Rattus norvegicus: one gene and its partners. The protein of the gene in region 4 purifies or fractionates together with the protein of the main gene of each other region. This does not show direct contact. Links are inferred from orthologs where the notes say so. Each region holds a gene or a part of one and is shown on either strand. Other genes may lie near its edges.

What was found.
Region 1: the proteins of Cbx1 (region 4) and Suv39h1 purify together in Homo sapiens (affinity purification with mass spectrometry; 3 studies listed by BioGRID and IntAct, with this or other methods). This does not show direct contact. The link is inferred for Rattus norvegicus from reciprocal best matches to the Homo sapiens genes CBX1 and SUV39H1.
Region 2: the proteins of Cbx1 (region 4) and Adnp2 purify together in Homo sapiens (affinity purification with mass spectrometry; 5 studies listed by BioGRID and IntAct, with this or other methods). This does not show direct contact. The link is inferred for Rattus norvegicus from reciprocal best matches to the Homo sapiens genes CBX1 and ADNP2.
Region 3: the proteins of Cbx1 (region 4) and Prr14 purify together in Homo sapiens (affinity purification with mass spectrometry; 3 studies listed by BioGRID and IntAct, counting the BioPlex papers as one, with this or other methods). This does not show direct contact. The link is inferred for Rattus norvegicus from reciprocal best matches to the Homo sapiens genes CBX1 and PRR14.
Region 5: the proteins of Cbx1 (region 4) and Smarca4 purify together in Homo sapiens (affinity purification with mass spectrometry; 3 studies listed by BioGRID and IntAct, with this or other methods). This does not show direct contact. The link is inferred for Rattus norvegicus from reciprocal best matches to the Homo sapiens genes CBX1 and SMARCA4.
Region 6: the proteins of Cbx1 (region 4) and Adnp purify together in Homo sapiens (affinity purification with mass spectrometry; 6 studies listed by BioGRID and IntAct, with this or other methods). This does not show direct contact. The link is inferred for Rattus norvegicus from reciprocal best matches to the Homo sapiens genes CBX1 and ADNP.
Region 7: the proteins of Cbx1 (region 4) and Zfp644 purify together in Homo sapiens (affinity purification with mass spectrometry; 3 studies listed by BioGRID and IntAct, with this or other methods). This does not show direct contact. The link is inferred for Rattus norvegicus from reciprocal best matches to the Homo sapiens genes CBX1 and ZNF644.

What each region holds. Positions count from the first base shown.
Region 1 is NC_086039.1:17,103,059-17,106,442, forward strand, and holds the end of Suv39h1 (histone-lysine N-methyltransferase SUV39H1), read left to right. Parts: intron 1-235; coding exon 236-382; intron 383-467; coding exon 468-597; exon of another isoform or gene 598-603; intron 604-1,328; coding exon 1,329-1,462; 3' UTR 1,463-2,884; downstream 2,885-3,384. UniProt on the Homo sapiens protein: Histone methyltransferase that specifically trimethylates 'Lys-9' of histone H3 using monomethylated H3 'Lys-9' as substrate. Also weakly methylates histone H1 (in vitro).
Region 2 is NC_086036.1:75,868,839-75,872,890, reverse strand, and holds the start of Adnp2 (activity-dependent neuroprotector homeobox protein 2), read left to right. Parts: upstream 1-1,252; 5' UTR 1,253-1,349; coding exon of another isoform or gene 1,350-1,510; 5' UTR 1,511-1,514; exon of another isoform or gene 1,515-2,196; intron 2,197-3,068; exon of another isoform or gene 3,069-3,609; intron 3,610-4,052. UniProt on the Homo sapiens protein: May be involved in transcriptional regulation. May play a role in neuronal function; perhaps involved in protection of brain tissues from oxidative stress. May be involved in erythroid differentiation.
Region 3 is NC_086019.1:191,513,166-191,517,227, forward strand, and holds the start of Prr14 (proline-rich protein 14), read left to right. Parts: upstream 1-1,262; 5' UTR 1,263-1,291; intron 1,292-1,315; exon of another isoform or gene 1,316-1,365; intron 1,366-2,069; 5' UTR 2,070-2,118; coding exon 2,119-2,141; intron 2,142-2,262; coding exon 2,263-2,431; intron 2,432-3,529; coding exon 3,530-3,651; intron 3,652-3,719; coding exon 3,720-3,909; intron 3,910-4,062. UniProt on the Homo sapiens protein: Functions in tethering peripheral heterochromatin to the nuclear lamina during interphase, possibly through the interaction with heterochromatin protein CBX5/HP1 alpha. Might play a role in reattaching heterochromatin to the nuclear lamina at mitotic exit.
Region 4 is NC_086028.1:82,265,525-82,269,561, forward strand, and holds the start of Cbx1 (chromobox protein homolog 1), read left to right. Parts: upstream 1-1,237; 5' UTR 1,238-1,458; exon of another isoform or gene 1,459-4,037. UniProt on the Homo sapiens protein: Component of heterochromatin. Recognizes and binds histone H3 tails methylated at 'Lys-9', leading to epigenetic repression. Interaction with lamin B receptor (LBR) can contribute to the association of the heterochromatin with the inner nuclear membrane.
Region 5 is NC_086026.1:28,460,819-28,464,318, reverse strand, and holds part of Smarca4 (transcription activator BRG1), read right to left. Parts: intron 2,125-3,500; coding exon 1,992-2,124; intron 1,298-1,991; coding exon 893-1,297; intron 629-892; coding exon 530-628; intron 1-529. UniProt on the Homo sapiens protein: ATPase involved in transcriptional activation and repression of select genes by chromatin remodeling (alteration of DNA-nucleosome topology).
Region 6 is NC_086021.1:177,319,189-177,322,688, forward strand, and holds part of Adnp (activity-dependent neuroprotector homeobox protein), read right to left. Parts: intron 858-3,500; 5' UTR 853-857; coding exon 745-852; intron 1-744.
Region 7 is NC_086032.1:3,248,684-3,252,983, forward strand, and holds the start of Zfp644 (zinc finger protein 644), read left to right. Parts: upstream 1-1,500; 5' UTR 1,501-1,695; coding exon of another isoform or gene 1,696-1,793; exon of another isoform or gene 1,794-2,887; intron 2,888-4,300.

The DNA of each region.
Region 1 (3,384 bases), on a different chromosome or scaffold from region 4:
AGTGAACAGAAAGTGGAGGTCCTTACTTCCTTTCACAAACTGCACCTTGAAGTCACCTCTCCCCCTACCATTGGAAGCAAGATAGCTCCTGCCATCTCAGCTGGAGAAGGGGTGGGTGGTGGGCAGCCCTCTGCATCGCTCCTGTTCACTGTTCTCTTCCCAGAGGCCAGGTCAACATCTAGTTGGGGCTGGCTTTCCTGAACCTTCATGACCAAATCTTACCCCCCTTCTTCAGATTATTACCTCAGAGGAGGCAGAGCGGAGGGGCCAGATCTACGACCGCCAGGGCGCCACCTACCTCTTTGACCTGGACTACGTGGAGGACGTATATACCGTGGATGCCGCCTATTATGGCAACATCTCTCACTTTGTCAACCATAGTGTGGGTGCCTCCAGCAAGCGGGCAGGGGGTTGGGAGGGGCAGGCCAGGGCTCCTCCTTACCTTCCCACTGTTCTTTCTTGCCCAGTGTGATCCCAACCTGCAGGTGTACAACGTATTCATAGACAACCTTGATGAGCGACTACCCCGCATCGCATTCTTTGCCACAAGAACCATCTGGGCGGGCGAGGAGCTCACCTTTGATTACAACATGCAAGGTGGGGGTGGTAAGGGCCCCAGGGGCAGGGGCAGTGACATGGGGATGTGAGGACCCCACCCCAAGGCATATATGGGTCAGAGTAGACCAAAGGAAATTCTTTTGCTGGAGTTTTAAGATGTTCTTCCTGATTTCCAGCCTCCTTTTGGACCCTGCCCATGGCTTATGGGTTCCCATATTTGTGCCCCCTGAACCCCAAACCTGATACACTTATGCCACCTTCTTTCAGTAGTACTTGTGGGAGAGGATGTTTGGCTGAAGTGTTAAGGCATACCTCACTTCCGTCTTGAATGAATTCCCCTACCCCTCCTGACTCTAATCCTCCTTCACCTTACTTGTTCTGAGCCTCTGGATACCCTTGCGGTTTCTAGCCTGACCTCTTCTTGACTAAACTAGTCATCTCTGAGACACTTGGCAGATAGTGGGCAAGAGTTCAGGTACCTTTTTAATGCCCAGGTTGACCTCTATTCCGCAACCCTGCCTGACGTGACACTTCTGTTTCCATGTCAGCCTTCGTCCTCGCCAGACATCCCTCAAAGCCACTCATGAACAAACCCCTCTAGTGTTGTGCTCTAGTTCTAACCCCAATCCACCATCCCAAAGATCCTCTCCTAACTCAAATCTCAGACCTGCTCCAAACCTCAAGATCCCTGGGTCTTCTGATATAAGGGGTAGCAGGACCATTCATGCAGGCCTTCTAACAACCCCCCTTCCCTGGCTGTGACTTCACAGTGGACCCCGTGGACATGGAGAGTACCCGAATGGACTCCAACTTTGGCCTGGCAGGGCTCCCCGGCTCCCCCAAGAAACGGGTCCGTATTGAATGCAAATGTGGGACAACAGCTTGCCGAAAATACCTCTTCTAGCCCTGAGAAGTCTGAGGCCAGACTAACTGAAGGGGCCTGAAGCCACCTTCCTCTTCTCTACTGCTACCCTCTTGTCAAGAATGACCATCAATCAGAGCCTTGTCTGCCTCCACTTGTCCTCACCTGCCCCAACCTGCTCCAGGGTCAGGGCTGTTGTGAGGACTAACTCCCGGTACCCTTTCCCTGTTCCTTTCCCCTATCCAGGCCCATCAGGCATTGCACTTAAAACTCCCAGCCCCATTTTCAGAAGCATATTTTTCACATCAGGATTCCCTAGATTTGGAATTCATGTCAATGGAGGTCCAAAGACTGAAAAGACTGAGCAACTCAGCCCCAAAGCAGATTTTTTTCTCTGCAGCTCTATGTAGTTAGTTCAGGCTGGCGTTGGACCTTTAATCCTCCTGTCTCAGCTTTCCTCATGATGAAATTATAGGTGTAAACCCAGCTAATTGTATCTGCTAATTTTCTAATTGTATCTGCTTCAGCTCTGAGCCCGAGTGACCTGTTGCAGGCCTCTTCACTGCTCTATGAGGAAGCAACCCCTAGGCAGACAGACATCAGAGCTGAGATACCAGCCCAACATCAAACTGGATCAGCAACCACGGGGCCTTTGTACTCATGAAAGAAAAGGCAATCTCCAGAAAGGCTGATTCTGCTCATTGTGCTTTTAATGCTGGCTAATACTAACCTTAAGACGCATAGGGTTGCAAAGAGAGTTGCAGGTCTGAAAAGTAGTTGCCCAAATCCCATCAGAATGGGAATGAAGTAAATACCTCTTTGAAAGCCCCTCAGAAGGGTTAGAACTAAGTTTTACCATCAGGAAGTAGAGTGCTGGGCTTACTGGAAACCCAGCCATGGCATTTGATGGCCACTAGAATTAGAAGCTGGAACCAAGATCTAGGTATTCTGTAGAAAGCACTTAAAAAGACAATAACGTGCATCGATTAGAAGGTGATGTGATGCCAGGCACTTGGTAGAGCACCTGGTCCATATGGATTGTCTCAGGGAAGCCTTGAAAACCACAGAGGTGGAGCCCAGGAAAAAGCCCATGTGACAGAAGGCAATGTCTAGGCCTAAAATACTTGTCAGCTCCAAGTATTCACCTGGGTCCACTTGTCTCAAAGTTAACTGCCTAGAGTTGTACAAAAGGCAAAGATTCTGATGGCTGCCTTGTCCCCTGCTTCCCCACCTCCAGGAAGCTTTTCCTGAGTTCCTATACCCAGAGTACCCCTTTGTGAAACTCTGTACCCTGCTACCAGATGCCAGGTCTGTGTGTGTATTTTGTATATATGTGTCCTGCCCACACTCCCCAGGCTGACCTTCAGGCATGGACTGAATCTGGTTTTCTGTGTACCCTCCTCAGCCCTCTCTAGCCTGGAGTGCACACCAATAAACTTTGTTGTTGAATTAATAAGCTGGAGATATGAGAGTTGAGGTCTTGATAACTAGGAAGTGAGAGAGGTTAACTGGGGTTGCTCTAGAATGTGGTCAGAGAGGCTTGAGTCATCTGACTGTCATGATCTTCCTACTTGGGGCCCCTTATAAAGTGGTCTAAACACTTGAACAAATAGTCCAGCCTTTTCTAAATTTATTAGTTGCCACAAACAAAAATAACTACCTGAAGAAATAGATAAAGTGGAGTTCAATATGCTAAATTCAAGCTGGGCCCTTAGTAAATTTTCAACTTAAAGCCTACCTGGTGCATTTGAAAAGGAAATACTACACAAAATTTTTCTGCCAATATTTACTGAGCAACTATATATGCTAAACACACTGCCTCATGTTTGGTTTTATCATGTGATCCACTGCTTGTGTTGTGCTCAGAGATTCTGTTCTGTAGGTGACAGTCTCAAACAGCCTTATACCATATGACAAAAGACATTCAAAACCCAGATCTTAGACCCTGCATTCACACTCAGATA
Region 2 (4,052 bases), on a different chromosome or scaffold from region 4:
TGGGAAGAAGTGCGATGAGACATTTGTGCGCATGTCAGTCTGTATGACGGGAAGCTGAAAGACTGACTTCATTTCACCCACGATTTCTCCGCGGAGATGGGTGGGTAGGAACATCACGCTCACTTGCTGCTGTAATTTCACAATCAAATTAAACTACCACTTATGAACAAATAGGATAGGCCGGCTCTATTTCAGTTATGACTTGTCTTCATGTAGGAAATAAAAGCAGGTTGTGGTCAGTATCATCAGCCCAACATTGGACACGCTTAAAACTGATGTGGCCACTTATCGAGTGCCTATTATCTCTAGTAACTAGGCCAAACTGAACAGAAGGCAGACTAGAAAATGGTGCAATCGAGGCAGGAGGATAAAGGTTTCCGACTGGGCAGAGCAAACGTGGTGCATACCACCAGCCTGGGGAGAACCTAGAACCTAGATGGCGGTTGATGGGAGCCCAAGTCTTGGTTTGGTTGTATGGACATGACCTTCTGAATGGAGAGTTGATGAGGACAGGGGTTGTCAGACTGGGAAATCTCTGGGATCCATAAGGGGCGGGGATAGAAGACAGGCCTGTTAAAAGGACTGCAAAGCATTTTAAGAGAGAGTTTCTATTTGTCTTCTCCAAAAGTTTCTGCTGAGCCTCTTGCTGCATCTAGAGCAGGCAGGCTTTCTGTAGGAGGGGCTTGGTCTTTCCATGGATGGAGACTCAAAAACAATTTGAAAGCTCCTTCTCCATGTACAATCCAACTTGAGAAATATTCCACCATTATGCAAATACATGCAATTAAGTCTCTTGTTACACAGTGTGGTATGGATGTAACTTTAATTCTCAAAATTCTCAAAAGGTGTGACACAAATTTTCTTAAGAAGAATGATGAGTCAGGAGATCCTATCCCGTTGGCTCACCAAGATATGTCAATCATAGGCACACTGGTCCAAGTTCCTAGAGTTTCTAAGTCCTATCCTCCAATGGCAAGCCAGTATCCTCAGGGCTGGCTTCTTATTGGTTTGTAGGTATGGGCGGGGCCACCCACTAGGCTCCCACTGGCTCCACCCCCATTCCATGCAAAAGAGGGCAGAGCTCTGGTGAACCCATGTGATTGGTCATGTGGTCGAGGACGGATCGCCCCACCCCTTCAATGACGTCACCACCAACCCAAACTATCTCGAGAGCTAGCCCAGAGGTGGAGAGGGCTCTAGACCCAGGGGGTCCAGGGGAGGGGGCTGCGGCAGGCCCCACCCCCTCCAGATCCTCGAGGCCCGCGGGGTCCAGGGGCCTGGAGGGGCCCGTGAGATGAGCCCAGGGGGTCCCCAGGCACACTCTACACCCATTGGCTGGCCTCGTCGGCATGCAAATAAGGCAACGTCACTTCCTGAGGCAGCTGAGCGCCATCTTCTCTTTCTGGCGCGCGGGAGGAGGGACGGGCGCGGGGCGGGGGTCCCGCCGCGTAGGCGGAGGACGCGGCGGTGTTGCGACGGCGGCGGGACGCGGCGCTCCTCGCGCCCCGTGGTAGGTACGGTCAGCCCGGCCTGCGCCGTCCCCGATCCTCCCCGCGACCCACCCGCCGTCCACTCCTGGGTCCGCCCCGACGTCCCCACCGCTGTCCGCTGCGCTGTCCCCACTGTGGCCTGCCGCGCCGTCGCTACCACGGTGCCTTCGGAATCCCGGACATTCTAGTGCGCGGCTCGGGTCCCCTCCGCGCCCGCTCGCGGGTCACGTGGGAGCGGGGCCGTTCTGGGGAGGGGGAAGGGCGGGGACAGGGGACGGGGAGAACAGAGGAGAGGACTGGGCAGGGAAGGGGGACCTGCGGAGCCCGGGCACCGGGAACAGAGGCCGGGATGGATGGGGAGAGGGGGCGGGGCAGGGACGGGACGCCGGGCGTGGCGAGTGAGAGTGGTTGGGAGCGAAGGGAGGGTGGGCGAGGACGCTACTGGGAGGCGCGGAGAGACTCCGCGGTAGCGGGCATGGCGCCCCTCTGCGGCGACCCGGGAATCAAGCTGAAGCCTGACGATCAGTCCGTTGGCGAGGATGGCGGGATGCAGGGCAGGATTGTGGCCACGTCTGAAGCGCCGAGTTTTCTTGAAGGAGAAGCTGATCTCAGGCACTGCCGAGGGCAAAGCCCTGCCCCTTCATCCAAGATGCTGCGGCATTCGTGACTGATACGCAGATGCTGAGTGTAAAATTTAACTTTGCATCTGCCATTTTAGAGGGATTAAAATAGGTTTTATTCGCACAGTTTCTACAAAGGTTTGATTTGACGTAGTGTATTGTAAGCAGCACATAAGTTTTGTAACTATGCTTGACTTTGAACCAAAACTCGTTTGAGTGCTCAAAGTTAATGCGCTTAGGATGAGTGATCACTCCATACAGGTAACCAACCTGCAGTATACATTAGTACCGTCGTAACCTTCGCCTCAAGGGTTTTACTAGTTCGGGGCTTGGACTGGTCTAGTCTGATGTGGGAACAAGGGACAGCATGTGTAAGAAGTTATGGTAAGTGCGATGTTAAGCTCTGGTTGGAAGTCATGCATATCGCCTAGAGATGTCACAGGTGGTGGTGATGTTGGCCCCATAACGATGTCTTGGGTAGATGGAGGCCCTGGTCAGAAAATAGCGTTGACACAGTGATCCTTAGGTAGAGGTCCTTAAGCACAGATTTGTACTTAGGATAGGCAGGAAATGAAGTCATTTCAGGCTATTTTAGGCATCTCGTTGAGAAATGGGAGGAAGAGAGGTCTGGATCATTGGCTTTAGGGGATAAAAGTTAATGTAGTTTTTAGCTTGAGGTTTTGGGATTTGACGATATCTTTTTCATTTGAAATCAAGCTTTCAATGTACTGTTGCTTCATTGGTGGTCCCCTATACTCTGGGAAGGTAGGGCTTAGCTTTTCCACACCGCACCCAAATCCTTTGTCTGTTGCTAACCTGCTAGTTAGAGAAAGCAGATTGATGACGGTCAGGTGGCTAGAAAGGGGTTTTCCTGTGGGTTGAGGCAGACTTTCTGAATCACAGTGTTTGGAAGTTGCTAAAAGAAAGTCCTAATAATGGTTGGGGCATCTTACGGAGGTTTTTTTTTTAATATTTTATTTATTTATTATATATGAGTACACTGTAGCTGTCTTCAGACACACCAGAAGAGGGCATCAGATCTCATTACAGGTGGTTGTGAACCACCATGTGGTTGCTGGGATTTGAACTCAGGAACCTCGGGAAGAGCAGTCGGTGCTCTTAACCACTGAGCCATCTTTCCAGCCGCCCTCACTGAGTTTTTGATTTAGATTTTACTAATATGATGATTATGTGTAGGGCGTTACCAGTGCTGTCAACTGCTCTTGAAGTAAATTCCTTGCATTGCTTCACAGATGCAGGCAGCTGAGGCCCAGAGAGACTAGGTGGTTAGCTAGATTTTCCCAGCTATGAAGTGTTTGAGTTGGTCTCATCCAGGAAAAAGCTCCAGGACCTGTGTGCTGTGTGACCCTTGCTGTGTTGGCACCCAAGATAAACGCGTTTTAAAAATCAGATTTTGTTGGGCATGGTGGCAGATGCCTTCAATCCCAGCACTCAGGAGGCAGAGGCAGGTGGATCTTGGAGTTTGAGGCCAGTTTGGTCTGCAGAGTGAGTTCCAGGATCACCAGGGCTGTCTTGAAAAACCAAAAACCAACCAACCAACCAACCAACCAACCAAACCAAACCAAACCAAGACCCAGATTGTCTAGGAACTAAGATTTTCTGTGTCCTAAAGGGATTATCATCTGATCATCTTTCAAAATGTGAAGTATGTGTGTGCCTGTATGCTGTGTGCCCATGAGGGGAGGTGCTTGTAGAGGGGGGAAGACCAGGTCAGTCAACAAACGAGCTCTGGTGCTGGGAACTAGACCTGGGCTCTTTCCAAGAGCATGGGCTTAAACATTGAGCCGTGGCCCCAGTCATGTACATTTCTTTCCGACTGCCTAAGTGTGAACAAGGACAACAACAGACATCCTTAAGTGGATGGTGGGAGGTGGGGGGACAGGACATAAGGCTGCTACAGGTCACTAAGGGAGTGGAAGAC
Region 3 (4,062 bases), on a different chromosome or scaffold from region 4:
CAGACAGAGTTTCTTTGTGTAGCCTGTGCTGTCCTAGAACTAGCTCTGTAGACTAGGCTGGCTTTGAACTCAGAGATTCACCTGTCTCTGCTTCCTGAGTGCTGGGATTAAAGGTTTATCCCACCACCACTCGGCAACAAACATACTTGTTTTATTGTTTGTTTGGTTTGGTTTTTGTTTTGTTTTTGGAGACAGGGTTCTTGGCTGTCCTGGAACTAAGTCTGTACACCAGGCTGACCTCAAACTCACAAAGATCTGAAAAAACATACTTTTTTAAAAAGTAATTTTTTTTTTTCTTTAAAAAGAGCGATTGAGGAAGACACCCACCAATGGTTTCTGGCCTCTACATACCAACATCAACACAAAGAGAGAAGGGGAGGGATGACAGATAATTCTAGGGAAGTTAGGAGCCTCAGTTAGGTGCACATTCACAGTGCACCGTGTGCAAAATGCCAGTAAATGACTTCCTCCACACCACAGTCCAGCTCCTAACAAAGGGTCCATTGGTGCCGGCTCTCCAAGCATTAGAATTCTACTCCTTATTACTCAGTTCCTAAAGACTACCTGACACCCTGCAGAGGATGCTCCTCTTCCAAGAGATACTTCAGCCCAGAACAGGAAAGACACTGAACCCGCGCCACGGAGCAACCCCAGGTTGGTTCTATTGGTCGCCTTCTGAGTGGCCTGCAGACACTACCTAGGAAGAAAGGAGGAAGGAGAAACGCTAGTGAATAAAGCTCACCGCACCCAGCCGTCTCACCACTTAAGCTATTCCCAGTCTCTCCAGAAACTGAACAGGAAGCTAGAGGCCACATCAGGCTTGGGATCTTCAGATTTTCCGTCCTGCCATCCCGACCCCCGTAGCCTCAATCCTGAGGAACCTAACCTAAGAGAATGGGAAATTACCAAGTCCTGAGCATTTAATCGATATTCACTGGCGTAGGAACAAGAAAAAAATACGTTAGGTAGAGAAACTTTAGCTTCCCTACACTTGTCCAGATATATCAAGAAACCTGGCATAGTGTTTTTCGGTCGATTAGAGCTAAAACCGGGCTGCCCTCAATTATAATGGCGGTGCAGTACCAATTTAGCTTCTTTGCCCCTAGGTAGTATGGCCGGCAGGAGATTTCACGTAGTTTCTCCTAACCCCGGAAGACCGGGACCGGTGATTGGGCGGTGCCTAAGACACAGAGAAAAAGGCCTCTGACGGTTGGACAGCGCTGTGTAAGGCTGGCTTTAAAGAAGCCGGAGGTGGGAGCTGTTGAAAACCCCGGATCCTTGGAAAGCTGCGGTGAGCGACGCGGGGGAGGGGAGGGGTGGGGGGGACCGGGCTGGAGAGAGGGCAGGGAGGCGGGCGAAGAAAAGGTTTGAGCCAACTAACTGGTCCGGGGCGCCCGAGAACGCGGGGCGGGGATCCAAGTAGGGCGGGGGTTTGGGGTGGGATGTTACCGGTGGGCTGGACCTTCTGGGACTGGAGTGAATGGTCTACCAGTTTGACAGTTTATACCCCAGGATCCGGACTGAGTTCGGTGATGAGTTTAGGCCTCCCCCCGGGGAACTTCGTTAAGCCGAAGCTCACAGTGGGAGGAGGGGAGTCGCGCGGCTTCTGATTGGAAGAACCGTGCAGTAGGATTCTTTCCTCAGAGATCCAATTTAGGCGATCTGGTAGGAGGGAGGGCTGTTAGTATGTGGAGTGATTCTTTTGGAGCTCTTGCTTGGTGGGGCAAGGACCACACAGGAATCTAGCGGAAACGGAAGCCTCTCAGGACCGGGATCCCACCGGATCCCAGAGAACCTCAGGGAGGCATCTACAGGGACAAAGGTCCCAGGAGGCTCGACCTGTGGAGAGCTGTAACCTCCGCAATCCAGTCTCGCGGCAGGTGCCAGGCAGGGCCCGAGTGATCAAGGCGGCTGCAACGGGAGGACCCGGCTCTGAGCGGCCGGTCGGGGGCGCCCTTGGAGGAAGGGCCTGTGCCCTGCCGGGAGCCGCAGGCGGACTATGAAGGGCGGAGTCCCGGGGGAGGAGCTGGCTCTCACTCCCCACTCCCTCGCTCCCCAACTTACCCCAGGCCTCAGCCTGGGATCCCCCAGGGACTCCCCGGAACCGCCGCTTCCCCCATGGATTTGCCTGGGGACTCCAGGTGAGAGCGTACCCCGCCCGCCTGACTTGAGCTCGGGAGACCGGGATGCTGACGGCTGTACCCGATCACAAGAGCCAACAACAGGTTCCGGCAACTGTCTTCTACTTCTCTCACCCTCCAGCCCTTCTACACAGCCAAGCCTGTGCCGTCAGCCTCTAGCTCGAGCATTATGGGAAGCCAGGAGCCCGAAAAGACCGAGGCTGCAGCCTTTGGGGAGCCCTTCATCCCTGGAAAAGGCCTCTCGGAGGGTCCTGGCCGTGGTGCTAGAAGATGTCATGGCTACAAACAGGGTGAGCCCTTTAAGTGAAAGACCACTCCCCCTTCCCTATCCTCCATCCCTGCCCTGGCTTAGCACTCAAGTCAGACCTGCTCCATTAAACCAGCCTTCAAAGCAGCCTCCGTAATGCAAGACTTCATGGTTTGGGGGAATTCGTGTGTCCATCCAATCACCCCTTCCACCAACTGCATCCTACTGAGTATGAAAAACTCTTCTGACTACGCTGTTATAGTTCTCTTTTGGGTTCTTTCTTCCATCCTACCAACCCCCTGACACTAGATAAAAGAGAAAAAGGATAGAGAGGAAAGAAAGAGATCCCGGAATAAAGGCAGGGGTAGACTACTTTCTGCTGATTAGAGGTGTTGAGTTCCTCGGGGCAAGTTTGATCTTCGCCATCAGGATACCTAATTTCTTCCTGTGAACAATAACAAACATCCAGTCAACAAACAGCCCACCCACTCCTGGGGGCATTAGCATTTATATGTCCTCTGAAAGTCCCCAGAATTCCAAATGTCACACAACTGCAGAAACTATCTGCAGCTGACAAAATTACATCCCTGCTGGAGGCAAACCATAGTGAGCGGCTGTGGACAATCTAAAGCAGCCCCATATTCCACACCTGGGATTAAAACAAAAACAAAATATTTGTGTATGTTTTTTTTTTTAAAGAAACCAAAAATCCAAAATTGCCACTTCTCTGTCCTCTTGGGAATCATGCTGTGGTGCCTTTGGCCACAAGGCAGAGATGAGGAAAATGACGCTGTCTTTTATGTCTCTCCAGAGCCTGGGGAGAAGAGTAGATTACTTTCTACACCTGTAGATCCTGACTAACATCTCACCCTTAATTAAGACCAAATCATCTCCTCTATGAATCTGAGTGTATTCTAGCTAAAATCTCTCTCACCTTTGTGGCTAAGGACATAGTGAGACACAGAAGACCCTGTCCAGCCATTCTAGTTTTTGTTGTTGTTTTGTTTTACTGAGACAGGGTCTCACCTTTTAGCCCAAGCTGACCTAGAACTCAGCAATCCTCTTGTGTTGGCCTTACAAATGCTGGGATTATAGCAGTGAACCCAGTTTTGCTTGCTTCTAACAGCTCTTCCTCCTGTAGGTTCCCCTGGCACACAAAGCAGACGTCCCCAGCCTACTGAATCACAACCATCAGCAGGATTCTGTCTGCACTCAGTCACCCACTTTACCATCCCACCAGGTCAAGTGGTCCTTGGAAGCCAGGCAAGTGTGAAAGGGAAGGGGATAAACCAAGAAGATAGTTGAGCCCACTGACCTCGTTCTTTCTCTAGGCCTCCTGACCCACTGCATTTGTGCAGAGAACCCTTGAGTCGTATCCGCCAGTCCTCACCCACCTCGAGGATGAGATCAAGGATGGCCCCCGGCCCAGAGGAGAGCCCTTCACAAAAGACAGACCAGGTCCCCCAGCCCACCCTGGTGGTGGTACTGAAAGACATTGCCAGTGCCAGACAACCAGTTGAGGTATAAGAAAGTACAGTGAAGACATCTGGGTCCAGCTAGGGCAAGCTTGGGGCTGGGGGTGGATTTCTGTAAAGGCCAAGACAACTGTTTTTGTTTGTTTGTTTGTTTGTTTTGTGGAGACAAGGTCTCAATATATAGACTTGGGTGGCCTAG
Region 4 (4,037 bases):
TGTCTTAAGTTTTTTGAACAGGAAAGTTGTCCTTGTTTTGGTTTTTTGAGACATGCTCTCATTCTATAACCTAGGCTGGCCTGGTACTCCTTACATAGCCTAAGCCTCTCTTAAACTCACAACAATCCTCCTGCCTTAATCCTGAGTACTAGTACAAGAGGTCTTGGAAAATTTGATCAGTTCTATTATCTGTTGGACATCTCATATATTCACTTAAACCGACTATCAATGAATTTTTACCAATAAATACTGAGAGTCAAAGCATGACCGTATGCATGCTAGCAATAAGCACAGGACTTTACTGAGTGTGGCGGATACAATGAGTCTTCTGTCCTTACTGGAGTTCCCAGCCCAACAATTAGCAGCAGCAACCTACCTGAATCACAACTAGTGCACTTGTTAAAGAATGACAGTCGTGCCTTTTGCTTAGTTCTGTTTCTCTAGTTTGATAAAGTTTGTTCATGGAGATGAAGAAATCACCATGAAAGTCGCCCACTGGCAAGGACAACAAAGGGAAAGTTTTGCATGTGGTGGCACATGTCTGTAATCTCCGCATTTGGGAAGTGGAAGCAGGAAGATCAGGCGTTTAAGTGCTTCCTTGAGACCCTGTCCACTCAACAAAAACAACTAAAGTGAAACAAGAAAAAAGGAGGGGGAGAGAAAAAAAGAAAATTAAGAAAGTGGCGATGGTGTCTACCTAGAGGTTTAACTTTCTGAACGGAATACTGATTCAAACTGTGAGGTAGGAACCTCTTCTAGGTGGCAATAATAGATAAGCTTGCTGGACATTATTGAAGGTGGAGATTTGATAAATCTCAGGTAACGAATATGATAAGATTTTTCTTTTAAGTGCAGAGTGACCAAACATCAACGTGTTAGTTTCCAAACCCCCGTGTCCTAATTTTGTAGACTGAGCAAGGAGTACTAGCATGCCCCTGAAATCCAGCACTCTGAGGTTTGAAGCAATTGAAAGGCCACAACTTCCGAAGCCAGCTGGGCTACGTACCCTGTTATTAAACAAACAAACCCCACCATTACCCAGTAATTTTCTAGGCTGTAGAGTTATGTGTTCAAAACAGTCGACTTCGCCTTTCCAGAAAGTTAAAAAAAAGAAACTACAAAGAAAACTCTACAACTCCTGAAAGTGGAGGTGGGCGGCGCGGGATTCGCGGCACTCTGGGATTTGTAGTTTCGGGCCGACTCTGAATCCCAAGTTGCCCTGCGGCGGGTCGTCGCGTCTGCGCAGTGCAGGCGGCGGGCCGCGCAGAGTGAGAATCTCTTTTGTTCGGCTGAGGGGAGGGCCGTTGGCCGGGCCTGCGGTACGCCGCTTCATCTGGACGACCGACTTGAGGCCACACGGCTGTTTGCTCCTCTGGGTGCTACTCCCTGGGACCGCCTGACGCAACGCGCAAGAAGCGCGACACCGATTCCTCTCGGACTGTCGGGCGCTGCTACGAGGTGAAGAGGCGGGCTGGAAGCGGGAGGGGGAGCGACGGCGGGAGGCCGCGGGCGAGCGCGGGCCGCTAACGGAAGAGTGGAGACAGGAGCTGGGGACGCGGCCCAGCGCCCGACCGGTCGGTTTCCCGCGCAGAGCTCGCGGTCTGCGGGAGCGTGGAGAGGGCGGGGCAGTGAATCCAGAGTCCGGGCGCGGAGTGGTTCCTGAGGAGCGGAGCCATCGGAGGGTTAGCTTTTCAAGAACTAGACGAGGAGCGTTTGACCCGGCTCAGCAACTCTGGAGTTGGGCGGGAGAAGGAAGAAAACTTTGGGACGTCCATAAGGAGACAGGCTTGGTACTTTGGGTGTGCGTGGCAAGGATCACGACTTCGTACACTAAAGGTTTAGAAGTGTAACCTGAGAGAGTGGACACGGTGGCAATCGCGGGCAATCCCCTTAGCACTTGGAGGAAAGAAAAAGAAACCTGAGGATATTGGGTTCAATTGCCACTATCAGAGAAATTTCTCTTGCCAGAGTTATGAAAAAGTAATTTCCAGTAAAATTGGACGTGGGCTGCTCCGGGTGTGCTAACGGGGAAGAGATTTGTTGAACCTGTCTTGGGGTGAAGGGTCAGACATTTTCTTGACCTTGTCTAAAAGTGGAGTTGCTGGGGTAAGTAGGGTAGAAGTCTAACGTGTCCATGTCAAATGTGGAAGAAAAAAGGGGTACTTGGGGGTGTGTAGCTTAGTTGGTAGAATGTTTGCCTACCCTGCCGCAAACCCCTGGATTCAATCCCCAGTATCCCATAAATTAGGCTGGGTGTGATGGCCTGTACCTGTAATCTTAGCACTTGGGAGCTGGAAACCGGTGGATCGGAAATTTAAGGCCTTCCTTGGCTACCAGAGGAGTCAAGGGTGAAAAGGCCACTTTCTGCCTTTAATAGGTCTTTATTGTGAGTAGGGAGGCTGTATGAGGCAAGACTCATCAGATAAAAAAGGTTCTTGCTGTGTAAGCCTCAATTTAACTCTTAGGATCCAGGTAAAGGTGGAAAGAAAGAGTTGACTTCACAAAATTGTCCTCTGATTGACAAGTGGGGTATGGCAGGGACCAAAGAAAGCAGGTCCTGCATGCCCACAGGCATCGAAAATAGTTTTATACTGAAACACAGTATATGAAATATGGAACTCGGGGCTGGGGATTTAGCTCAGTGGTAGAGCGCTTACCTAGGAAGCGCAAGGCCCTGGGTTCGGTCCCCAGCTCCGAAAAAAAAAGAACCAAAAAAAAAAAAAAAAAAAAGAAAGAAAGAAATATGGAACTCATTTCGGTATTTGGTACTGAGGACCTTGCACACATGCAAGTTGTCTACCACTGAGTTATGTTTCAGTGCCATAAAAAGTCTTAAAAATTATATACTAGTTATATATATTATATACTAGTTACACTAGAATATAGTGTCCTCTCCAGTTTTGTGTTAATCAAAAGATCTAAGGTTTTCTGATAGATGTATGACTATAATCAGGATATTGGTGCCTGTGCTCTTCCTTGGATGCTCTCTAGGCATATATGGGAGGTGGTGTGTTGAAAAGAGCCCAGTTATCTGTGAGTACAGCCAGCATTTGGGGGGTAGAGGCAGGAGCAGCAGAAGTTCAAGGCCTAGGGAAAAGAGTCATATGTTCCTTAAAAGATTTGGGCAGTGAAAGCATTTCTAATTTTCTATCTAGTCACTTTTTTTTATTTTTTTTTTATTTTATGTATATGAGTACACTGTCCCTGTCTTCAGACACACCAGCAGAGAGCATCAGATCTCATTACAGATGGTTGTGAGCCTCTATATGGTTGCTGGGAATTGAACTCAGGACCTCTGGGAGAACTCTTAATTGCTGAGCCATCTCTTCAGCTTCCCTTAGTTTTGAAAAGTGGGGGCGGGTGTTCCATGACATACTTATGGAGATCAGGAACAACTTTGGGGGTGGGGGTCATTCTCTTCTGTAACACTTGTTCTAGTGATTGAACTCAGGTCATTAGGGTTGTGGGACCTTTACCTGTTGAATCAGCCTGATACCCCCATTTTCCAACTTTGAGGACTGGACCTAGAAGTTGGTATGTTTGGATTTTATCATCTTTTTTTTTTTTTTAAATTCATTATATATAAGTACACTGTAGCTGAAGAGGGCATCAGATCTCATAACAGATGGTTGTGAGCCACCATGTGGTTGCTGGGATTTGAATTCAGGACCTCTGAAAGAGCAGTCAGTGCTTTTTTTTTTTTTTTTTTTTTTTTTTTGCTTTTTTTCCGGATCTGGGGACCAAACCCAGGGCCTTGCACTTCCTAGGTAAGCGCTCTACCACTGAGCTAAATCCCCAGCCCCGCAGTCAGTGCTCTTAACCACTGAGCCATCTCTCTCTACAGCCCCTGAACTGAGATAGGTGTGCGCCATCATACCTAGCTGACAGTTTCAATTTTTTTAAGATTTATTTGTTACATATTAATTACACTGTCTATGTCCTCAGACACACCAGAAAAGGGCATCAGATCTCATTACAGATGGTTGTGAGCCACCATGTGGTTGCTGGGATTTGAACTCAGGACCTCTGGAAGGGTA
Region 5 (3,500 bases), on a different chromosome or scaffold from region 4:
TCAGGAGCCCCTTATCCTGAGTAAGCTTGCCTGTAGTCACAGCTATAACCAGCCATCACCTTGAGTCCCATAGTAGACACATCCCCTGCAGGAGACTGCAGGATTCCTACCCATAGGACAAGGAAGATAAGAAGTACCCTGTGGACCCCAGCTGAACCCCAGAGAATTCCACCGAAAAATCTGAGGTTTCTAGGGTGAAAAACTGTAGCCTAGGGCTGGAGAGATGGCTCAGTGGTTAAGAGCATGGACTGCTCTTCCAGAGGTCCTGAGTTCAAATTCTAGCAACCACATGGGGACTTACAACAACCATCTTTAATGAGATCCGATGCCCTCTTCTGGTGTGTCTGAAGTGACGAATATATGATAAATAAATAAATCTTAAAATAACAAAACAAAAAACCCAAAACGAACGAACAAACAAACAAAAAAACAAAACAAAACAAAAAACTGTAGCCTAACTTCTGGAGTCCTGCATAGTTCAGGTTCATGACAAGAAGTAGAGCATGTCACCAATAGAAAAGAAACTTACCTTCAGGCCATGGCTTGGGAGGCCCTCCAGGAGGCTGACCAGGCATCCCGGGGGGCACACCTGAGGGTCCTGGAGGAGGCATGTTGGGCCCTCCCATACCTATATTAAAGGAAAGAAAGCACCATAAATACAACTATGTTCAAAGCTGCTGGCCTACTCTCATATCAGCTCAGGGAACATACCCACCCACCACAATAATTATTGGCCAGAGTGATGAATAAATGGCATTTAGGTAGACATAACCGCCCACCCCCCACCCATCACAGCAGTCCTAGGTACCACTAGCTGGGAGCCAGGGTTGCCTGCTATTATCATACACATTAAGCATTCTCCCCACTCCAGCGGCAGGGATATAGGTCTTACCATGGGGTCTACTGTAATTCGGAGGGGCTGGTCCTGGACCTGGGCCAGGGCCAGGGCCAGGGCCGGGTCCAGGTCCTGTGGCAGACACTGAAGGTGGAGGTAGTGTTGGCATCTGCTGCTGCATTCCAGGCATCGGCCGCTTGCCTTGAACGGCCATCTGCAGGTGGTCGGGCAATGGCTGGCCCCTGGCCAACATCTTATAGGCCATTATCTGAGCTCTGAGTTGATGCAGCTGGTTCTGGTTAAATGGGGTTGGGCCTCTGTTTTGCTGCCCCAAGGCCTGGGGGTCAGAACCATCTAGTGGGGCCCCTCCTGGCCCAGAGGACATCTGAGGGCCTGAAGATGGGCCGCTGGCCGGGACAGGACTGGAGGCATGTTCAGAGCCACCTAAGGGTGAGGGGTAACCTGCAGGGAAAGACTAGTTCAGTGGTCACTCAGCAGCATGCATCTATAACAGCTAAATCACATCACATTACCTGGCATCCCTGGAGAGGTAACTAGGCAACATCATTCTCCTGAGTCAAACAAGAAGCACCCAGAGGTAGGTGGCTGACTGAGAGCCTCAGCCCAGCAGCTAATGTGGTCATGACACAAGCTAATGAGCTTGGATACATGCTTCAGTGGGGTACAGTTAATCAATTCAAAAGGTAAAAACTGCAAACCAGGCCCCATCAAGCCTGCCCTCTGTCCAGGTCAACTTCTCCATTGTCATTCCTATGAATCCTAGGACCCAGTACCTTACTTACTGCCCCTAGTGACGGGGGGACTCAACAAGTCATCTACAGTATCAATCATCCCCATGTAGAAAAGCCATCTTGCCTAAAGCAGTGGCCTAAGGCACCACTGGAGTTGCTAGCCCCAGCTCCATCATGCTAATCCCTGACCTCAAACAACATGCTAACCAATCATTTCTGTCCCACCTGTTCAGTATTCGAGACTGCTCCAAGGCAAGAGGGCTATATAGAGAACTAGCCACACGTCACCAGGGAGGCCAACCCATAGCTCAGTTGTACTAGCTGTCCTTGAAATCTCCACTAAAGAAAGCAGATTCTGAGCTCCAGGCACATGAACATGAAACAAAAACCAGCCCAAACTGTACCTTGAGAATGCTGGTCCATGGGACTAGGCGGAGGTCCCATACCTGTGTGGGCCCCTGATCGCATGCCCATCCCTTTCATTTGGTTGTATCGTGGGTCATCAGGCATGCCCTTCTCGTGCATGGACTCCATAGGCTGTAAGATGTACAAGGAGACAGGTCAGCCAAGGACAAGAGGCAGCTGCGCAAAGCTCAAGAGGCAAAGCTGAGAAAGAAGACCACAGAGGTCCACCCAAGGGGGCCAGAGGGCTAGCTCTGAGGCACACTCACCTTCTGGGTGTCAGGACAGACACAAAACCAAGCTACTGGAAAAGGTAACTACTTAGGCAGTGGAGGCATGGAGCTGTCTTTCAAGCCAGTGAGAACCACAAAGAAAGATGTCCTGGTCTCTTGCACTTTGTGCCAAGGAGACTTGCTGCAAACCTAGGGCTGAAGCCCTCACCCTTGGAGACTATAAATCAAGCAAACTACAAAAAGGTCTGCTGCATATTTAGACTGGACTACAGTGAGACTCCCCACTGTCCTCAAGGCCTCAGCAGCTGCCAGCTTAGGAAGGAAGGATGCAGAACTGTCCCACCACTGAGACAGCACAATGTTAGCAGGATGCTGCCATATGGCACCTGTGGGAGTAGGCATGCCTCCCAGGGAAACGGCTAGCGCGGCCACTGGGAGAGATTAATACCTAAGACCCTTCTGTCAGCTAGGACTGGTTATCGAGCACTGTGCTCAGCAAAAACTCACAGGCCAGCATGTGATGAAGGAGAGTGATACCAAAGCCACACTTAGTATAGCTGTAACAAAGGAAGCTGAGACGGGGCATGAGGGCAGCTTCCTGTGGGGCCACTACTCTGTGCAGGCTCCCCAAGATTGTTTATGCTGAGCAACAGGGTTGCCTACAGCGTAGAAGAGGTTCGGTGAGGTGTTACCCACCAGGACTCCAGGACATAGATTTCTAGATACATGGTAGGTGTCCAATGGGCAGTAGCATGTGTGAGCAATGCTAGGATAAGGAGCACAGGGAAAAGAGATGTAGTTTGTGGCACATGGAGGACCCTGTAAACCAGACAGTGGGCTCATACATGTGACCCAGAGCTTCCTTTATAGGGAGAAAGGAGCAAGATAAGTGCTCTAAGATGACAGAATAGTTCGGGAACTGGGAAGCCAGAGATGGAGGTGTCTCAGAAGCAGAGTACAAGGACAACCCAGGCAGAGGAATGAGAGAGGCGTGTGAAGGAGCGCCTTCCTCATTTGTGGATAGGGAACACAACCTAAACTAGGAAGCCTACAGGGGTAGGAAGCAAACACAGGAGCAACCCTGCAGGGAAGAGGAGCAACTGACAGCGCCACTATGGTAAACCCTCCTGCTGTCTTCAACTACATCTTCTTACACCCCAGCCTCTGTGGGCCCAGACAAATGCTGACATTACTCCCAGCCAGTCCTAAGAGGAAGACCAAGGCCTCAGGACAGGAGAGCTGCTTGGCAGACTGAATACTCTCCATGTATGTAGGCCA
Region 6 (3,500 bases), on a different chromosome or scaffold from region 4:
ATTTGTTTTGTGCTGAGCATTGTGCCAGGTAGGTAGTGGGAGATAAATGGCTAACCAAGGCCAACTGTGGCCCGGTCAGTAGGAACTTAAAAGCGTGTCAGGGAAATAGCTGTAAGCACGTCAATGGGAGGTTGTGTCTAACTAACCGTAAGATTGGGAACAAGGAGATCTGGAAAAGGAGGAGACGCCTCTATCTAGCCTACGGGGCTTCGAAGGCTCAGAATAAAAAGGATAGCAAACAGTCTGGAAAGGCCAAACTGTTACACAGGGCAAGATAAGTCTTTGACAGTTCAGAAGGCTGACAAATGCTCAAATCCTGAGGAAAGAGATGACACACACTCAGACACCTGTGCCAACAGTCAGGTCAACAGAAACACTCAGGCTTGTCAGAAGGAAAACAGGCTCTGCAGCCCCAATTCCTCTTTCATAGACTGGAGATAAGAATTCCTAGAGCCCCCTAAAGGTTATTCAAGGACAAAGCTCATATATAATTTTAAAGCACCTCGTGCACTGTCTGACTTGTATATATTCTCCGTGCTGTAACTAGTTTTGCCTCAGGTTACAAAGATGATTAGGTTTTTGGGAAAACGATGTAAGCTATCCTAAGTGAGAAGGTTACGTACGGAGAAGCTGAAGGTCTAGTTAAAATTTACTACCACACCTAACAGTGAACCTTTGCCCATGGACACAGTGATGGATCAGAAGCTGAGTCACATTAAAATTTAAAAATGGCATGCTACTTACTTCTATATGTTCTTTACAGTATTCCAACCCAATGTCACTAAGTATTTTTTTCACAGTTTTCCGGGCTTTTCTTAAACTGCCAAGATTGTTGACAGGAAGTTGGAACATAGTTTCTATTGGAAAAAAAAATTTAAGTCAAGTCAAAACATGTACAACTTGTAAAAGTTACTACTTCCACTGATGACAGGATCCCAAACCCTGGCTCCCTCAGTTGAGAATCCCTTGCCTAGCACAGAACACTTGAGTTGAAGGCAAAAAGGTGAGTGCTTGGTGGCCTTCCCTCTCTATTTTACAAGAGGACATTTTAGACCACAAGTCTAGGCACACAAGTCTCAGTAAGCTGTAAAAATCTGTTCAGAGATGAATTTGAAGTTGGAAAATGAAAGCACCAATATCAATCAGCTATCTCAAAACCAAATCAAGTGCGCACGTCTCCTCTTGATGTTGGACCAAAGAAGCTGGGACCACTCCGAACTTACAGCACTGCTCGCTCGCTCAGCTTTCAGTGATGAGGGGATGAGTTTGCCATCTGAAATGTCCCGATCAAGGCAATGACACTCACAGAAGCAACATGTCATTCAGTGACTGTTTCTGTCTCCTCCTCAAACCAAAGTCCCAGATGGTAGTGGGACTGGCTCCTTGAGTAGCAACCAGGGCAAAGGCCTCACAAAGGCCTCACGTAGGCCACAGAATAAACACATAGATGGAAAAGCCATGCTTGTGGCACCAGAAGATACAGCAATTGCTGTAGTCTTTCTGGGATCCTTAAAAAAGTATAATGCCTGTGAGCGCGCGCACTTGTGCTTAAAGGAACCAAAAGCTGCCTGGCTGTCCCACATTCACTAAAGGTAAAATGTAGATCCATTTCCCAAGTTTCTTAAAAACCAAGGCACTTACGTTTATTTAAGAAAACTGAATTAGTAAAATTTAAGGTGAGATTTTTAAGGCTTTGAATGTGACTTTTTTTATAATAATCTAAATCCAACATAATTTCGCAGAATAAAGTAGCTCTAAGACCAGAGCCACAAAAAACAAAACGAACAAACTGACCCCAAAGCACCAGCAACTGGGATCTCATAAACCTGCACTCTAACTGTAAACCATCACCCTTACTGACAGCAAGCCTCAATCTGGGGATGCTGCCCTAAGACCCAGGTCCCAGAACACCCCATTATGAAATACCAACTTAGCTGGGTCTCCCAACACCAAAATGTTCACTGAAAACTCAGCACTTCCCAGCCTTATATCATTCTCTCGATAAACTTCTATGAGCTTAAGACCAGGGCGGACAGTGCTCTCTCCCCAGAAGGAGCAACATAACCATCTCTTCCTTCATACTCTCTGGTCTTTACACCAAACCAAGCAAGAAGGTTTCAATAAAACACCAGTCGGTGTCAGAATTAATACACATGACCTCCACCTCTTCCTCGGGCCACTACCTACCTGTTAAAGCACTTAGGGGGGTCAGGCTGGGCTAGGCCATAGCACATTTAGAATCCCAGCACTCAGGAGGATCATGAGCTGATGGCACCTCTACCCTAAATGGCAGAAGTCATGCACAGCTGATACCTTGGCTCAGAAATGTAGTTCAAGTCAGTGACTAGCTCCAGGATTTACCATTGTCACCCATCCAGGTTTTTTGCCTAAGTTTTAAAGAGCCACCCCAACCTCCCCAATAGCCTCAAAACCATGTTGAACTAGAAACCTCAACAAACAGACCATATTTTGAAAACAAAGACAACACCCTGCAGTGCAGAGGGAGGGCGGGCTGGGTGTACTTTCCTCAAATCCATCCTTGGGTCAGCAATCTCCCCTGCCAGCCTCTGTTCCTTATGATGGCAGTTTCTTACAGGTTCTTGCCCAGGAAAACCTCCTTTCACATGGCACAAACAGGGCCAAGTGTCCAACTTAATGGACCTGTCCTCTTGTTCATCAATCACTTCCAAGACACCTAAGCCTTGTAGGTCACAGTGCTGGGAACACATAGGAGGTCCTTGGGCAACACATTTCACACAAAGCTTGCTTGTTCATCAGCTTTGGGTGGAAACCACTCCTGCCACAAATGATGTGCAGTCTGTCAGTGAGGACTCGGATGAGCAACAGGTTTCACCTCCCTTGGCAGATACTGATCAGTACACAAAACTGTTTATGTGCTCAAAACATGGCTGTCAGGTGTGCTGGAAAGCAGAGAGGGAAAGAGGCTTGAGGCAGCATTCTCCTCACTGTGTCCACATCCTTTTCTAGACACAAGCACAGGTGCTCAAGCTTTGTTGCACCAAAAAGTCTTTGTAGAAATAATGGGCAGCAGGACACACAAAAGAAGCGAGTCAAATGAAATTGGGACTGATTAGAAAGAAGTCTGTCAAAAATATTCAGTAATTCTACAAAACCTCCCGGCCCTGACAACCACAACTAAAACACTACAGTCAATTGCTAAATTCTAAAATAATTTTGGGGGCAGGCCAATTAGCTCAGCTGGTTAAGAAATGTGGTGCTAATAGAATAATTTTGGGAATGTTCAATCCATGTGTTTTATTCACAGCTATGTAATAACTGGAAAAGCTAAACAGTATAAGGCAGGCTGACCCTCAGAGAGTCCCACCAGCCTTTACTTTGTCTCTGCTTCCTGAGAGCTGGAGTAAAGGCATGTGTTACCAATTCTGGCTTTTGAGACTGTCTTAAAAATCCATTTGGAATGAGTGAGTCCTACCCTTTCTCAATCTCACTCACACCTGGAGAGTAGAACAGGAGCATCA
Region 7 (4,300 bases), on a different chromosome or scaffold from region 4:
TTGGACTCCACTGTACCAGGCATGAAGCACGTGGTGCCCAGCCACACGTTCAAGCAAAACCCATATTCATGAGATAAAAATAAAGTCTCTATGGTACATCCCTCCCAAGCAGTTGGCCGAAAATAGACACGAGTTTATATGTTGTGTATCTATTCGTGTGTATGAAGGCAAGCTTACATTTCGAAACAGCCCAACAGTTGTGCGGTTGTGAGAAAACAGTCTAATCTCTCTTCGCCACTTTAGGTCGTAATGAACTTGCACACACAGGCTACAAGAATGCCTGATGGATGCACAGACAGCAAGCACTCCAGTGTCCGCAGTTATCAGCGAGTGAAATAATTAGAGTGGATAGTAAAATATCCGGTTTTTGGATCTTTTTTTTGCTGCTGCCGAAGGCACCATTTTCCAGGAAAGACACCCTCGTTCTTGTCAAATAAATGCAATTATGGCTTATCCCTCTGGATGTTAATGATATCTTGAAGGGCACGGAGGTACGCAGTTCATGATTGTTGCTTAACTAGTGGGAACTTTTAAAGTTCTTCATGGGAAAAAAGTTCAGTCAAACCAAAGAATTTTGTAAGGCAGGCCCATTAGAGTATTCTAGAACGTTTAGTTCACCTTCAACAGGTTAGGAACTTGTTGACTCGGTTCAAAAGCAAAGCGAATACCTCTAATTAGTGCGCCATTTCCCTCAGAAGCCTATGGCTGAACGCTTGTTAAAAGGGGGATTTAGAAGACCCTCTGGGGAAATCTATTGATTACTTGAAGAGTTAACCAGCATTTCAGACGTCTCTTTGCATGACTCCAATTTGGACCATCAAGGCATGTTCCTCAGTGCAGAAACTGCCCTCGCAGAGCCCTCAGAACCCAAATCTAGGGCTTCTTTCTGGGTGTCTTGACTGAGAGTTTCTACACCTGATGCTGTTTAACCTCAGAAAACCTGTCTGTGCCAGTACGCCAAGGTAGGCCTGGTATATATGTTGCTGATTCTTTCAACAGTAGGAAAAGAAACGGGATTTTGGCAAACTAGCGATTGCAGACACCAGAGATGGGCCTATTCCACCTTAAAGGGCCTAGGCATTCCTGGTACTTGGGTCTTGCAGAGTTTGGTTGCCACCATATTTGGAGCGTGCCTACTTTGGGGCGGGAACCTCCTCGGGAGTGGTTAGGTCACCGCTGGGGGAGGTGACCTTGTTTGGTTTTGGCACGGGAGAGCAGCGGTGCGCTGTTTCTGCCGCGCCCCCCGTGGGTCTGATTGGCACGGGAGCTCCGGCTGCCCCAGCGCACGGGCGCGCCTCGCTGGCCTCCCACGGCGGCCGGCGGCCAGGCAGAGGCGGGAAAGCCGCGCGCCTGCGCCGTGGGAACCGAGGCCGGAGGCGAGAAGCGGGGAGCGGAGGGGGCCGTTGGAGCCGAGTAGCGTACAGAGCGGCGTGTGACGCGGGGACGCCGCGCGCTCCCAACGTCGCCCCGGTTTGACGCACACGGCACCAAACTGTGAGTTTCGGGGGTCTTATTTTGGTTGGATTAGCCCGGGCCCCGGCTGCATTTCGGACGTCCGGGCTGAGGCGGTGGCGGGACTGAGGGTGGCGGAAGAAGTTGTGGGGGAACCCGGCCCGCGGCGCTCGGGCCCGGGGAGCTACGCCCTAGGCTGGCTCCCAACCCTCCGAAAGGACGCGTTTTGCCGCACAGGCTAAGATGGCGGCGGTTGCCGAGGAGGCGGAGTTGCTGCTGCAGAAGAAGCCCGGGTCGCGGGGTCCGGGAGGCGGCGGTCGCGGGGGGCCGCGGAACCTTAGGTGAGCGGCGGCGGCCGCCGCGGGGCGGGACTCGGTGGCGGGCGGGGGGGCCTTTCCGCTCCGGCGGCGGAGGATCCGGTGGCGGACACAAAGGGGCCGAGCCGGGCTCTGGACTTGGGGGGTTTTGTTTAGTCACATGTAGCGGAGCAGCCAGTGAGCGGTAGGGGGAAGGGAGCCGCGATCTGGAGGTCCTGGGGAGCCTTGCGGTCGCCATTGTAACGCTCCGAGTAACGGGGCGGCCCGACAGCAGTCAGCCGGCGCCCGGTGTGCGGCTGCTCCGTCCTGGCCTGCAGCCCCGACTCTGGGGCTAACTGTCCACACCCCTCCCCTGACTTTGGGACCAGAGCACATAGCTTTCCCCTTCTTCCCACTGGTCTGCAACATCTTGTGCCGCTAAGTGCCTGGGAAGTAACTCCAAGAGGTACAAAAAGGAAAAAAAAAAAAAAAGGAAAAAAAAAAAGGAAAAAAATCACGCGAAGTGTTTGGGTGGCCAAGGGGCTTGGTGGGTATCTAGCTAAAGCTTTTTGCCTCTCCAGGTCTGATTCCCTGGCCTTTGTGTCCCTGGGAGCTTAATCTCTGCCAGAGGAAAGCAGGTGTGCTCCATCCACTCCTCCCGAGAACATGAAGATGAGTTGCCCCAGACCCTTCCCCGTGATTGGAAACTTAGGTGGTTTCTTGTTTCGAGACTTCCACAGACGACTCTCGTGTTGGGATCCATCCATGGTTTAGCGACATTAGTGGAAAAGTTTTCTTCAACTGTTTAATACTGACTTAAATGTAGTTATAAAACTTTCATATTAGATTTCAAATATTATGTGATTAAACTCAACGAGGGGATACCCACGGCTTGTGGCCCTGAAATGATGATGGTCCTGTTCTGTGCACAAGTTAATTTCCACAGAAGTACCCCAAACACTATCATCTGTTGGGGCCAGCCCCAACTGATGCCAAGTTTACTGCATCTGGGACATGTGCTTGGATTTGCCTTAATCGTGTTGTAGTTTAGTTAATTTTGGCCCCACGAAGGAAAGTATTTCAGAACTCAAGCAACTATAAAGTTACCCAGATCGAGAAAACGTGCTTCAGGGCCATGTGTAAGTATCCAGGGAACTAGGTGTCAGCAATACAGCTGTGCCTTATCTCGGGTAGGTTTGGTAAGAGAGAAAGGTAGATTCTACAGTGAAGTTATAACTCAGTGTAGACTTTTAGATTGGTGAAACCTGAGTGCTTGACTGGTTCTAACGAAGTGGTTTGCATGTTGCTGTTGAATACTTTAATACTGTATTTGCATCATGTGTTGTATTGGAAGTAACTAATACTGGTGTGAATTCCAAAGGAGTTGGTCCTTGCGTGTGCCATCAATATAAGTACGTGAAGGAATAGTAAAATACCTTTAGGTCTTTGAAATTTTTAACATTAAAACTTTAGCTTACTTGTTTCTTTCCTGGGATGCATTTTCCCTTTCTTAGCTTCCTTTCAAACAGAGAACAGTGTTGTATTAGCAGGCAGGAGCTACGCTCACAGTCAGGTGTGTTCCCTGGATCATACAGTTTTACAGAAGACCGTTGAAAGAGCTACTGTTCCTAGGCCTTGCCTTAGCCACGTATTAAGTTGGTGATGTGGTGGGACACGGTCGCTAGCTCCTGCCCTTGTCATAGTTTTGTTAGCACCTGGTAATGGGACATTACTGATGATCCCCGTTAATTAAAGCGTCTTCAGTGAGACTTTCTGAGACAAAACAGTTAATGTTATGTAATTTTGTAGTAGTGTTGCTTATGTATGGATTTTTGAGAACTTTCCAACCCTGACATGACCCAGAAAAGCAAAAATTAAAAACAAAAACCGTGCTTGACAACTAATGTGGGGAGTTGGAGATAACCGCTGTTACTGCTAGAGAAGGCCAAGGGATGTAATCGGTGTTAGGAGCCATGCTGGTGTCTCTCACTCTGTAATGTCGTTTTGACGCCTCTCAGGCTCTTTAAGTGACTTTTAAGACCAGCTGCTGCTAGTACAAGTCTTAGGAAATGCAACAAGTGGTGAGATCAGGCACAGTGGAGTGCACAGTGCTGCTTGTTGTGAGGCTTGTGTGGGTCATTTAAAGTGCTTTTAATTTACTGTCTCTTTTTCTAAGAGTTCAGTCGAAAGGCTAGTTCAGTTTCAACACTGAGTATATTTAATTACACTTAGTCTTGTGCTAATTAGGGTTACTTTGAGGTTATTTGTAATTATAAAGTCAGTGTCACCTGCATGCCTTAATTGCCTCCCAGGTTTTTCAGTTTGTTCAAGTTCTTGGAGAGTTTGGGTAGCAAGAAGAAAAGCTTGAGAGATACAAAATGGTGGAAGGTCTATCATGTCAAACACGTCGTTATTGTGTAGGATTAGCAGTCTGGACTCTTCTCACAAAGTGACTCTGGGAGGAAAAGGCGTGCTTGCTAAGTGCACCAGCCACACAGGAGAGACGTGGCGTGTTGTTGAGTTGTCCAGTCTGAGTCTGTAGAGTGCTCTGC